Drosophila melanogaster: one gene and its partners. The protein of the gene in region 3 purifies or fractionates together with the protein of the main gene of each other region. This does not show direct contact. Each region holds a gene or a part of one and is shown on either strand. Other genes may lie near its edges.

What was found.
Region 1: the proteins of Cyp4ac1 (region 3) and CG8888 purify together in Drosophila melanogaster (affinity purification with mass spectrometry, with the first as the bait; one large-scale study listed by BioGRID). This does not show direct contact.
Region 2: the proteins of Cyp4ac1 (region 3) and FipoQ purify together in Drosophila melanogaster (affinity purification with mass spectrometry, with the first as the bait; one large-scale study listed by BioGRID). This does not show direct contact.

What each region holds. Positions count from the first base shown.
Region 1 is NT_033778.4:12,076,399-12,081,427, reverse strand, and holds the start of CG8888 (uncharacterized protein), read left to right. Parts: upstream 1-1,884; 5' UTR 1,885-2,109; coding exon 2,110-2,133; intron 2,134-4,129; coding exon 4,130-4,375; intron 4,376-5,029. Other genes in the region: CG13186 (uncharacterized protein), read right to left, coding at 1-110.
Region 2 is NT_033777.3:29,494,470-29,499,423, forward strand, and holds FipoQ (F-box involved in polyQ pathogenesis), read left to right. Parts: upstream 1-2,071; 5' UTR 2,072-2,208; coding exon 2,209-2,304; intron 2,305-2,530; coding exon 2,531-2,855; intron 2,856-2,917; coding exon 2,918-3,536; intron 3,537-3,594; coding exon 3,595-3,762; intron 3,763-3,830; coding exon 3,831-4,034; intron 4,035-4,093; coding exon 4,094-4,229; 3' UTR 4,230-4,454; downstream 4,455-4,954.
Region 3 is NT_033779.5:5,262,283-5,266,531, forward strand, and holds Cyp4ac1 (cytochrome P450 4ac1), read left to right. Parts: upstream 1-1,718; 5' UTR 1,719-1,751; coding exon 1,752-1,953; intron 1,954-2,013; coding exon 2,014-2,217; intron 2,218-2,275; coding exon 2,276-2,357; intron 2,358-2,413; coding exon 2,414-2,514; intron 2,515-2,573; coding exon 2,574-3,514; 3' UTR 3,515-3,617; downstream 3,618-4,249. Other genes in the region: Cyp4ac2 (cytochrome P450 4ac2), read left to right, coding at 4,150-4,249. UniProt on the Drosophila melanogaster protein: May be involved in the metabolism of insect hormones and in the breakdown of synthetic insecticides.

The DNA of each region.
Region 1 (5,029 bases), on a different chromosome or scaffold from region 3:
GGACACTCGTACGTGTGCTCGATGTAGATCATGGAACGATCCTTGGAGAAATGCTCATCGGAGGACCAGTCCACGTCCTTTTTCTTTTTTGCCGGCTTCTTTGGTGGCATTGTGGTTTTTTTTTTAGATTACTTTCACAATTTCGAAGTGATTTTGTTAATAACCAAAACCCATTTTTATTTCGAATGTTGACAATCCTAGAATTCATAATTGCTTTGATTGATTGCTTTTTGGTTCACTTATGATTCTCTGGTACAAAAGTACTGTGAACCATAAATCTTCTTTCGTACATTTCAAAGTGCGCAACGATGTCCAGAATATTTTTGCTGCGCCTATTTTTAAAATGCATGACAATCCGAAAGAGTCAACAACTTTTGGTGGCACGCATACGAAAAGAATCGCTGTTCGTTTGTTAATTTGGCTACATTGACTGACAACGCAGCCGCCTTTGAAAAAATTACAAAAAACGATATTGTATAGATGCAGGGGAAAATGCTTCCATTGGCTGGGTAGCCACAATTTTGTTCATTATATATAGATTTTTGTTTTGTATATATGCAAAGCTCCAATATAGACGTCAATTTATGGCACTGTCTATATTCATGCAGAAAAGCTACTCAACAAATTCTATGCATAACAATAATATATTGTTGGACACAAAAACATGCATAAACAATGGGAGAAAACATAAAAATCGAGTATTTAAAGCAAGTAAATTATACGATGAGAGCATTTCGACGACTATCAGATATTCTTTACGGATTCCATTGAATGTAGGTTTATCACAAAATACGCTGATATTTATCATAAGCTGGAAGAAGATACCAATACCAAATCAATGGATTGTTTTCATAAAAAAATGAAGAATGAAATCGCAAACCCTATTATTTTCAAGTCTCTTAATAGTGTTTGAAGGACATCTAATTGAACTGATTTTAAGAGCAAACATAGTCTTCTTATATAATTTGTGCATTTTTAATTGGAATCATTTAAATTCTTATTTTGGAGCGTAAACATGATTGCAACACTCTTTTATTTGCTTGATTTTATTGGTTGCGGGATTGCGAGATTGCAAATGGTCATTTATTGCATTTTATTTCTCCATTTCTCGTGGCTGAAGCTGAATGATTTTTTACCTTCAGCTGCCCACACGTGGCCCGCATTTTCCTGATCCCCCCCAACCCCCTCTGACCCAGAGGGTCATGGTTTATTTATGCAATTTTCCAATTTTCCCAACATCGGCCCACAAATAAAACCGAAATGAAAGCATACAAAATGCAGCAAAGAGCTGGGAATTTAAAAAAATAAAAAACCAAAAATGTATATGAAAATGCAATTTGCAAATTAACAACAACGCAATTGTAAACAACAGTGACAATGACGTCACAGTGAAACATACAACAGAAATCTATTCGTTGTGGGGTTAAGAATGCAACTTTTGGCGTTTGCACACATACTAATTATGCGCATAAACTGTGTATTCAAAACTAGGGTCATTTTGAAGCAATATTCAAATGAGCCAAAAAGAATATTTCAACAAATGTATCTGCACACTCGGAGTTTTTTTTCTGCTGTTTTTCCGCTGTGGAAAAATAATCATCGATGCTGCGGCTTCAGTGGGGCAGCGCCAAGAGCAACAAATATTTAAATATATTTATTATTCTGAATAGGCGTGCCAGCGTGTGTATATGTATCCCACATACGCATGTCTGCACATACTTCAGATATATTTTTAAAAAATCAAAACGACAATTTGCTGCTTGCATCATTTTGAAATACAACAGAACTTGAACGTCGACGTCGACGTCGCCAGCGGCAGCGGCAGAGATCGTCGATCGGCGAGCGAAAATTTTCGGCAGCTGCAGGCAGCGCCACTCGATCGTACCGCTTAGTGCCACGCCGTGTCTCAGAGCGCCCAGGCCACGGGCCCCCAAACCGTACCGCTGCGGAAAATCGATCTTGAAAATATATACAATACAAAAAAAAATCTAAAACTCTAGCACCGGATATATTATAGTCTAAGACTACGAGAATTGCCCACTTCATTGGGAAAGTGCGTGAAAATCCGAACATTACCATCGACCATCTACACCATCATCAGCATCCGTCATGCAGGTCTTCGATAACAATATGGTAAGTGAAATCTAGCCTGCGGCAAAAAAGCCATTTGTGGCCATGTTTACGCAGGCCAAATTTATTGTCGCCACGTTTGTGTATACCTTATGGCACACTTAGCCCAGTTAGCTTAACCCAGAAATGCCAATACACAAACTCCAGTCTGGCATAACCACGCCCATTTTGGCCGCAGAAGAAAAGGATATCCTTTGGCGGCAACGAAGGAGCAGAAAGGCAGGAAGTCATGCGGTGTTCAGAACGGGCCGCCAAATTAATTACAAAAATTCACTTAATGGCCACGATCCAAGTGGGTCAACGTACGTGCGAGCCACTAGAAATTGAAAGATGCAAAATGCTAGATGCAAAATGCTAGATGTAAAATTTAAGTGTTCCGCCAGAGACTTGTCAAAATTCTACCGCCTGCCTGGGATTTTAAGTGCAACTTAAATGGATGTAGTAATGTTATAATGACTACATTATAATCAGATTTGCACAATAAAAGTCTTGACATTGAGGCAAACGATTATGAACATTCCACAAGGGATTGGATTTTTTCCAAACGAAATACACATCAAATACATTTTCATCATGAAAATACAGTGCGAGTATTTTTGCAATGCCAGAACTTTCCATTCCATTTGATTCGGCCGCATCATCTAAAAATAAATATCCATATCTTTATTAATAATAAAAATAAGCTTGGAGACATATACCGATTTCTTGGCAGCTGAGCGACCCCATTAAGTACATAAATCGTACATAAATACACATAAATATAGATATATCTGAACCGGCAGCAAGTGCATATATGTATATGTACATACATAGATCGGATCGAAATTGTCGCCCATATGTAGGCCACTTACAGAATGGCGGCATTAGTCACATATAATACTCACGTATCTGTGGCAAACTAAGTCCCAAAATTGGTGGCAAGGTCGCCGGATGACGAAAGCAATCCGAAATGACATGGTCGATTTCCTTTTAATATTCCAGACAGCACTAGGAGGTATAAATAGATCCGGCGATTTTACAAATCCGGCGAAGGAAAAATAGTCGAAGCAACCGAAATGGAATTGCTTTATTTTCAGGCCGAATAAATCAATTGGCTTCTGTATTTATGCAGATGCCACCATTTGATTATTTCGCACTGTCGTTGATTTATGGCCAATGGCCAAAAGGGGCTGCCAAGGGTGCCCTCTTGCCAGCCATTTTTCCCACACACACAACCGACCGATTTTCCAGTGGCTTTCCCACACTTTTTCGAGAGTATTGTGCACGTCATGTGTAATTGCTATACGTCAATGTCAATGTGTGGGTTAGCGTCTGATAAATGCAAGCATATGTATATGTTGGTGTAAGTGCTTGTGGTCGTTTCCGGATCCTGTGGCTGCAATTGGTTAGCTTTAATGAAATGCCCGATGATATATTGTTGGGCAAATATGTGCTCGACCATTTCATCAGCCATTGAATTCGAACATTGAGCAGAAGTATTATCGATTTCAACGAGCACCAAATCGGAAGTCCTGAGTCAATAAATTGTATGGATTGCAAATGGCAAAAGATTTTCATCAGCTTTTCTCGATTGGCGGGCAACAGATTGCCGCTCAGAGTTTTCCAGCGAATTCCCGACTAATCCAAATAAAACTTCACAGCTTCCCCGACAATTCCGGTAAACTCAGGACACCTGTCAAGCAGAAGAAAGCACTCAATGCAATTCTGGGAATATTTCCAATCGGATATCTTTGATTTTCCGCTATGGAAATAAAAACAATGAGTGCGTGCAATAATTTGCATATTCACCTTATTTATTGATCAAAACACAAACAAACGAGAGCTGCCACAATTGTTTAAATATTTCCCAAACAAACAAGGCGCAGCTATTTTGTCTGGCTATTTATAGAGCTGAAAACTGAAATGCTAAATGCGCTGCAATGAAATGAATAATTAAATTGGCATATATACCACCGTGATTAATATCTATCTATGTATCTATATATCTTTTATCCTTTAGCGCCGTGCCTCGCGACGCGCCTCCTTGCGACGAGGATCCATATCGGCACTGCCGCAGAAGTCGCACGAGATTCCCTGGGACATATTCGAGCGACTATTCATGCCCTTCCTGTTCTGCCAGGCGGCGGCCATTGTCACATCGCACCTGCTCCACGCCCTGGACATCTCGAGCATCTCGACCTTCGCCGTGTTCGTCTGGTTCGCTCTGGCCACCGTGGGAGCCGTGCTCTTCTATCACTTCGTCAAGGTAAGTCATCCCGCTTGGCAGACTTTCTAATCCTTAATTCTGGCGAAAACCGCATAAGGGATCGGAGTGTCTTGGGCTTGGGCCTGGGATTGGTATTGGACTTGGGGTTTTCGGTTTCGGTTTCAGCGCCACGGGCGTCCATAAGTTAGGGGCTCTGTCTGCCGGGAACGGTCTTTATTTTTCCCTTCCGTTTTGGCCGGGTACAAGTGCCAAGCCAAAACCACAAGTGACGACGGAGGGTCTCAAATACTAGGCAAAACAAATCAGTGGCACTAAAAATAGTCGTCGGGCCAGCAAAGAATCCATATACACAAGGCGGCGGAAGGAGAGGGTCCTGCGGCAGGCACGTCGTCAACTTATGCTTAACCAGGCCGAAGGGGAAGGAGGAGCTGGTGGAGCAGATGTAGCAGGAGGATGCACAGGAAACCCTTGACTATGGATTTGGCTTCGGATTTGCCTGCGTGTGGTATTTCAGGGCTTATACTGTGCCTGGCAGCCAGCCGGGAAATGAAAATGAAAACAAATAAATAAGCAGGCAGGCAGAGCAGAGCAGTCCTGGTGGGCAAACCCGAGCACAACTTGCTGAAAGAAAAGGGTTTGGTAATGAATATAAATTCGCAAGTAGGAAAAATGTGGAGTCGTGATTCACTTGAG
Region 2 (4,954 bases), on a different chromosome or scaffold from region 3:
GATATGGGCTAATTTTTGAATAAAATCCAGTGCTCAAATCATAAGAAGTGATTTTTTGTAGTTTCTAGCATTTGTAATATCTGTTTCCCAACGATCGACCACGCCCCCTGGGCAACCGCCCCTCTGTTGGCCGCTCGCCATGGGAAAAGCAAATGACGCCTGCACTCGCAGAGATCGCCCCGAATAACCCCTCCATATCCACAGATCCACAGATCCCCAGATGCCCATGTAGCCATGTACTCCGCATGTAGTACGATCAACTAGCCGAGTGAATTTTGGCATAAACCATTTTCCGCGGACGCCTGATTTTCTCAGTTTTCTCAGAGTTGTGGAGCCGTCGAGAACGCGGAGCATTCGCCCATGTAAAGCCGCAGAATCCGTCGATTTTCGCCGGAATTTATCAATCCGATTTGCCAGTAATTTGCAACAGAATAAGTGAATTTGCCAAGTGAATTTCCCTAGTTTTTTTTTTCAACTTGCAACGAAAGTGCTAAAGTTACGAAACTGCACTTTCCACGTTGCACTTGCAACCCCAACAGTTTTTTCCACCAGATCCACCAGCTGAGGGAAAACTATTAATAAACCGGGCGAAGGATGAAACAAATTCAGATGTGACGCCCATCCTCGTCGAAAATCAAAAGTCGCAAGTGAACAATGTGTGTGTGTTCACTGAGTTTGCATAATTGTGAATTTGCTATTTTAATCGCCTGCGGGCATCAATTAATTAATTAATTAAAAGCTTTCCTTCTCGCACTCGTTTATTTGCGGAAAGTGTCTAACAATTTCGTTTGATCAACTAATCAAATGGGTAAATAACATAGTAAAAACGAAGTTTTAACTAACTGCTTTCGCTTGCTTACTTAATATACTTATACTTTCCAGAACTAATAGACTACTGAATATAGATTTCCTATTAATTTGCTTCAAAATGTGGTAATTTAATTAGCTTAGCTGCTTGTAAACTAATAATTTCTAAATAACAATTAGTTTGAAATGCTCAGAATTCAGTGTGACTAATTGGGAAAGCCTTGCAGAAATAGTTTAGCTCATGAATGAATGTATCTCATGCGAGTATAGCCGGCACATCTCCTCCCTTAGTTAGATACATAGATACATAGATACATAGATAGAAGCGGACGGATCCAGCAAGACCATACATACATACATATTGTACAGCTGAGACAGCGAACACCTTCAGCTTTCCGGCTGATCCCAATCCAAATCGCGAACTAGAGCGCAGTGCCCACCATGGATAATTGGAATGTTTTGGCAGCGCAAACCTCCTCGCAGGCCATCGGACTCCACGACTCTGGCGTGGTGAAGACCCGACTGGTGAGTACCCTGTACATAGAACATACACATGTGCAGATAGATATACATATTAGATGTAGTAAACAAAACAAAGCCAGACAGACGAACGATGGCGTATATATAGAATTCTTGGCAACAAACATTGTGCACTGAGAAAGTAAAAGGGGTTCGAAATCTATTATTACTATTAAATATATATATGCAAAAGCAGGCTGTGCGGAAATGTATCTTAAAGTAGGCGCTAAAGGATAAAGCTCAGAAGGTTATTCCTCGGGAAACAGAAGCATTTTCAGATGCATCTTAAAGTATCTAAGAAGTAGAAATATCTTAAGATGAATCCATAGGTTATCCGAACCTACAAAAGGTAGATACTATCAGCAATATCAGATACTTTTAGATATAAGTAAAATATAGTAAAATATCTCGAGATACTTTTATACAGCTTACTAATGATTTTGAATCTGACGAGGAAAGGAAGAGATTTGGCAGGGATTTTATCAGCATGTTTCTCCACGTGCACCGCTGGGTGAGTGGTGCTGGTGGTTCTAGTGGTTCTATTTGTTCTTAAAGAGTGCGTGAGTGGTGTGGTGCGTCGCCCGTGAACAGCACAGCTGATGCATCCGAAAGTAGAGTGATTGAGTGATGCGATGTGGCAGTGCTCTCGTTACTGGCGCTGGTCTATAAATAAGCCTAGGGTTCTCTTGAGTCTACTACTGCCTGGCGGATCTTTGGAGATTCCGATGGCACGTCGATGGGAATGCGGCTCGCAGTAGCGCGAAAGTAGCTCGATACGACGGATATTCTCGCCTCGCAGGCAGAGCACGCGTAGTTTGCCCCGTGTGTAGCTATATTTTTTTTTTATATAAGCAAGTGGTTCCGAATCATCCACACCCAGCCATGGATATATCCACCGATATCTGGGGTCAGCTGGCCGTGGAGGCATCGCAGGTCTACCTCTCCGACGGCACAGTTCGCAGTCCCTTCGCCGATACGGTACGATGGGTTTGGGATATTACTTAGGGATCCCACTCATTTGGGAGAGCCAGTCTGTGGCGTAAGAGAGAGTATCTATAGATTCACTCACCCGTAGAATATATAGCACCACATTCGCACTCAACTATTCCGAACTGTCGTTTAGATTTACATTTAGAGATCATATTTGAATCACTTATGTAGTACCATAGGATATACCACTATATATCGTGACTCTCATCCACAGACCATTGAGAAGCTGCCGGACAAGGTGCTGCTGCACATCTTCTCGTATCTGTCGCACCGCGAGATCTGCCGCCTGGCCAGGATTTGCCGACGATGGCGGCAGATTGCATACGACACGCGGCTGTGGAAGAACGTGAGCCTGCGACCGGAGGTCTCCGGACTGCACGTGGGCTCGCTGGAGATGCTGCTGCAGCTGATCTCGGTGAGATTCGGACCGACTCTGCGCTACATCGAGCTGCCCATCGAGCTGATCACGCACACGGTGCTCCACGAACTGTCCGCCAAGTGCCCCAATTTGACCCACATGCTGCTGGACTTCTCCACAGGTGGGTGCGCCACGTCGCCGATCGTCCGTCTTAAACTCTAGAGTGTCCTGTGTACTTCTTAGCCATGCAGCTGCACGACTTCAGCGAGATGCAGGCCTTTCCCACCAAGCTGCGCTACATGTGCGTCTGCCTCTCGGAGGTGATCTTCATGGAGGGCTTCATGCGCAAAATCTACAACTTCATCAACGGCCTGGAGGTGCTGCATCTAATTGGCACGTACGAGAAGTGCGAGGAGGAGGAGGAGGAGATCTACGAGGTGATCAACGTGCACAAGCTCAAGTCGGCCACGCCCAATTTGCGTGTGATCAACCTGTACGGCATCAACTTCATCGATGACTCGCACATCGACGCCTTCAGCTCGAACTGCATCCAGCTGGAGTGCCTGGCCGTCAACTTCTGCAACAAAGTGACCGGCTCCACCCTGAAGACCCTGATCCAGCGTTCCAAGCGCCTCACCTGCCTGCTCATGAACGGCACCAGCCTGAAGTCGGAGTTCGTCATGCAGGCCGAGTGGGACAAGTGCGCCCTGCAGGAGCTGGACATCACGGCCACCGATCTTTCGACCGAATGCCTCGTGGACATGCTGAGCAGGATCCCCAGCCTCAAGTTCCTCTCAGCCGGCCAGATCAATGGCTTCAACGACAGCGTTCTCAAGCAGTGGATGGAATCGGGCACCACCAGGTGAGCGGAGACAGTACCTACCCGTCTGTGTAAGCACTCCGATAGCAGTATGATTTAGGTCGCTCATTTCCCTGGACTTGGACTCCTCGGACAACATCTCGGATGAGGGCCTGCTTAAGTTTATACAGCGCCAGGGTCATCAGCTGAGCGCCTGCTGTCTCTCGGGCATGCCCCACATCACCGACCAGCTGTGGATGAGCATCCTGCCCCTGCTGGGCAACTGCAAGTAGGCGACACTATTGGTCATCGAATGAAAAGACATTTTATTATGAGCTGAACTTTCTTAACCTGCAGGATCATTGTTATGGGCACCGCAGAGAAGCTGGGCGTCAACATCCACGTGGACCAGCTGATGGACACCATCGCCTCGAATTGCGGCAACTTGGAGCGGCTGGAGCTGCGCTGGGATCCGGACAACCTGCGCTTCTCCGACAAGAGCCAGAAGGCCATCGATATTCTGCGCGTCAAGTGCCTCAAGCTGCGCTGCATGGTGCTCAGGTGGGTCTACATCAGACTCCTATTTCTATGCGGGATTAACATCAATATTTCGCTTCCAGCGATGGTCGCTACTATGAGACGGTCAAGGCCAACTTTGAGCGTGCCGATCGCATCACCGTGGTGCGCACCACCACCTGCTGCCGTGTGTCTCCCTATCACCTGCTCCGCAACTACAACGATTTGATTTTCAACTGAGCCTCTGAGGTTCAGAGCTGAAAGCCAAGAGAGGATTGGTAGCTTGCACTTACCCGGTTGCAGAGCTCTGGATGGGATTTACCCACAACAGGGCCGGAGGAGAAGCAATGTTTCTGTGTGTTTTCGCTTACAATAAGAGTGTTTTAATGTTTTCTGTATTTTCCGCTTCTTTCGTTTAATTACTTTAAATCTAAATAAACGTACATAGGTAATTTAAATAAAAACAAAACAAGGATTTGCTTATACAAGTTATTTTTACATTACAAAATTATACAACGCAACTTTTCGCCTTGCTCTCGTTTTTAAATCATTTTTTTTTTTTTTTTAATCATTTCAATCCGCGTTGATTCGTGTTTTGTTTTTAACTAGATTTACTTGGTAACTTGATTAAATCATTTTCAGACTTCACCACATAAAATGTTTATCGTTTTTGCGTTTTAGCGTTTTGCTGATGATTTTTACACTGCTTTCATCCATTGCAAACTTAATGCTAATTTAATTTTTTTTTTGTGTGTGTATGTTTCAACATTTTTGAATCGACTTTTTACCATAAACTTAACGTACATATGTAGATCATCTCCGTTTGAATTATCGTCTCATTGCCGATCAGCGTTCAGCTATTATATGCATGGTATATAATTTAGTTAAGCATAGCTGCGTGAGTTATACATACGTAATGTCTGTGCCTATGACGATATAGGATCGAAGGTGGGTGCTGTGGTCGA
Region 3 (4,249 bases):
GAATCACGTACATAAATAAATAAATACGCAGGCGTATGACCGTATGTTTGTGTACTCATGCCGCAACGGAAGCTGCAACAGTAGCGGCAGCAACATTCAGCGCAGCAGCGGTTGAAACAACAAACAAACTAACAAACAAACATTCAAGCCGCCACCGCAATGGTTGTTGTTCACTGTTGGTTTTTGGTTTTTGTGGCCAATGCCGCCGCTGCAATTGCCACTGATCGCGTCGATTCAATTAGTAATTCTAAAAAGGCGGCAAGCGACGTCTTTTGCATCTTAATGAGCAGCAACAGCAGCAGCAGCAGCAGCAGCGGCAGTTGATGTTGCTCCTGTGGCAGCAGCAACACATGCAGCATGTTGCCGCCGCAATAACATTTGTTCATAACAACAAGAAACGGAGAGACAGGGCCAGTTTTTCCATCCAATTGTGCCGGCACAGCACTTTTCATGCCCAAATGCAGTTTGTGATTGCTGCTGTGACCGTTGCTGATCGCAACTGCTGCAGTTGCTGCTGCAACTCCTGCTGCATTGACTATTTTTGTCATCCAGGTCCACGCACTGGTCGTGCAGCATGTTTGCGCGTTCATCTCCGGCTCCGGCCATTTCCACAGAAAATGTAATTACTGTGATTTAATTTTTTTCCACATTTACTTCTATTGCAGCAAAGGCTGCAATTGGCCAGATTGCAACGGCAGCAACTGCAACTGTGGCATTGCCATTTCTGCGCGCGCATTACAAACTTGGCTCAAATTAATTCCTCAAGCCCAAATGCGATCTGGCCAAGCTGCAGCTAATCAAACTTTAATCAATGCGGCATTTTGATGCGACATTGCTAGTTTTTCTCTTTTTTTCTGCAGCCAGTTCCATAGTTGGAACGATGGGAAAATATGCCGCTTGGCCTGGGAGGAAATTTGCCAAGAAATTGTTATTAATCTGGAATGGTCATATGGGCAAACAAAAAAAAAAAACGATCGTAAGCCAGTTTGAACTATTTCAAATGCTTCGCTAACAATTTCAATATCTGTCAAGTGCTTCAATTAATTATTATGCCTTTTGATAGTAGGCAGCTGTTGAATGGAGAATACCATAATTTTTTTATTTTAATCTCATTACCTTAACATTTCCTATGTATACTTATAGGCACTAATAATTAGCCAGCTCTACTGCCAACAAAAATAAAACCATATCGCTTTGAAATCAATAGCATGACATTATAGCTTATATGCATTAAAAAGCAATTAGTTCAATTTCTGACAGTCTAAAAGCTTTGCGTGCTGGAATAAATAATTTTTACTTTTAAATGAGTTAACCAATTATTTGGTTTTAGACTGTTTTTGTTGACACAACCGAACGCTTTAGTATTCACCATTAAGCGATTAAATTAAGCTTCAAGATAATCATAAAAATATGACTGACCATTTAAAGCCGGCCATAGCATCAGTGATATAATACTTAAAATGTTGGAATGCTTCAAAATGGAGTCATCATTATAGACAATCCAAAATTAAAAAATTGCAAAGTCGAGTATAAAAAAGAATAGAACTCAACAGCACTCAACCACAATAATTGATATAATCCAACCATATAATTGGCTTCCTGATAACAGAAAGCTGTTTTGAGATTGTTATTGTTTTAAACAGTATAGTACATACAATTGATTATGATTACAGAGGCTTGATGATATGCCAAAGCTTAGTGTGTAGTGAAATTGCCTGCAGAACGGACCGATCGGAGAATTTTGCGACAAAATGTGGATCGCTCTGCTGGGGATCCCGATTTTGTTGGCGGTCCTAACGCTTCTTCTAAAACACATTAACAAAACCTACTTTATACTTTCATTAACGAAGCGTGTGCGAACCGAGGATGGCAGTCCATTGGAAAGCAAAGTGGCCATAATGCCGGGAAAAACGCGATTTGGCAACAACTTGGATATCTTGAACTTTACGCCGGGTTCGTTTTGTTACTCAATGCGATTATAGGTTTATAACTACTTTTCAAGTTTTATTACAGCTAGTGTTTTTAATTTTGTGCGCGAGTCCACGGCCAAGGCCAAGGGTCAGAATTATCTGTGGTATTTTCTATATGCACCCATGTATAATGTGGTTCGACCCGAGGAAGCTGAGGAGGTATTCCAGAGCACCAAGCTGATAACGAAGAACGTGGTTTACGAACTGATTAGACCATTTCTGGGAGACGGACTCCTGATAAGCACGGGTGATTCAATCAATTTGTACTGCATTATTATAATTACTAATTAATCAATGATTTCAAGATCACAAATGGCATTCCAGACGAAAGGCTTTAACGCCCGCCTTTCACTTCAATGTCCTGCAGTCATTCCTGGGTATTTTCAAGTAAGTTTGAACTATTAATTAACTATTGAATTCGCTCAAATATAAGTTTATTTTAGGGAAGAGTGCAAGAAGTTCCTTAACGTTTTAGAGAAAAATTTAGATGCAGAACTGGAGCTTAACCAGGTTATTCCGCCATTTACTTTGAATAATATATGCGGTGAGCTGAATGAAGTGATAATATTTAAGAACATTTAAACTAAACCATACCCTTTATAGAAACTGCTCTGGGTGTGAAGCTGGATGACATGTCGGAGGGCAACGAATATAGAAAGGCCATCCATGCCATCGAGGAAGTTCTAATTCAACGCGTGTGCAATCCGCTGATGTACTACAACTGGTATTTCTTCGTTTACGGAGACTATAGAAAGCATTTGCAGAATCTTCGAATAGTTCACGACTTCTCCAGTCGCATTATCGAACGAAAAAGGCAGCAATTCCAGCAGAAACAACTTGGAGAAGTCGATGAATTTGGCAGGAAGCAGCGATACGCCATGTTGGATACCCTGTTAGCAGCCGAAGCAGATGGTCAGATCGATCATCAGGGTATCTGCGATGAGGTCAATACCTTTATGTTCGAGGGTTACGATACTACGTCCACCTGTCTAATATTTACCCTATTGATGCTGGCTCTCCACGAGGATGTCCAGAAGAAGTGCTATGAGGAGGTGGAAAATCTTCCCGAGGACAGCGATGACATCAGTATGTTTCAGTTCAACAAACTAGTCTACTTGGAATGTGTGATAAAGGAATCGCTGAGAATGTTTCCATCAGTGCCATTTATTGGGCGCCAATGCGTGGAGGAGACTGTGGTGAATGGAATGGTGATGCCAAAGGACACCCAGATCAGCATCCACATATACGACATAATGAGAGATCCGCGACATTTCCCGAAACCAGATCTGTTCCAGCCAGACAGATTTCTACCGGAGAACACAGTGAATCGTCATCCTTTTGCATATGTGCCTTTTAGTGCAGGCCAGAGGAATTGCATTGGTCAGAAGTTTGCCATTCTGGAGATGAAGGTGCTCCTGGCCGCTGTGATTAGGAACTTTAAACTCCTGCCCGCCACCCAGTTGGAGGATCTCACTTTTGAGAACGGAATCGTGCTGCGCACACAAGAGAATATCAAAGTGAAGCTATCGAAAAGGGTAAAATGAGGAATATTTCCTAGTGTAAGTTTATGGAAAACGGTTTGCCAAAGAGCTTTTATTTGTAATTTGTTTAGAGAAACAAATAAACCAGTAAAACGATTGAAACTCTAAAACGATTGATCGCTTGTCTTATTATCTGTCATGTAAAATATAACGATTTATGATTAAACGATGAAATGATTGAACTAAAGATATCCTAACATGTAATTAATTTAATTAACACGTTCATCACAATCGGTAACGTTTAAATAAATTGCTGGTTGCTTTTTTATGGAGAGGATACATTGTGATCAATTTGCATGTTTGTAATAGTGAAACTACCGACTACTTTATACAGCTTTATAGCTTTATATACAAATTAAAGCTTACGTAAAAAAAATCAAAAGCCAATATACATAAATATCGTAAATTTCAAAAAATTTTGTTACACAAGACTTTCTAAAAACAGTGCAGTATTTGCAATTTAATATACCCATCAATTGCATGCCGCAAGGGAACATGTTTTATACTAAGTACCTATTGATTTTACAGAACTCAATTGTTCCGATCACTGAGTTCTAATCAGTATTCGTCATTTATAGATCGGAGCTTAATCTGAGAGGTATTGGAACCTCTGACCGGAATATAATATAAACGTAGAAATGTTTTTGGAAGTCCTGTTCGCTGCTCCACTTGTGATTTTCATTTTTCGCAAGTTATGGGCTCATTTGAATAGGACCTATTTCATCCTGAGTCTTTGCA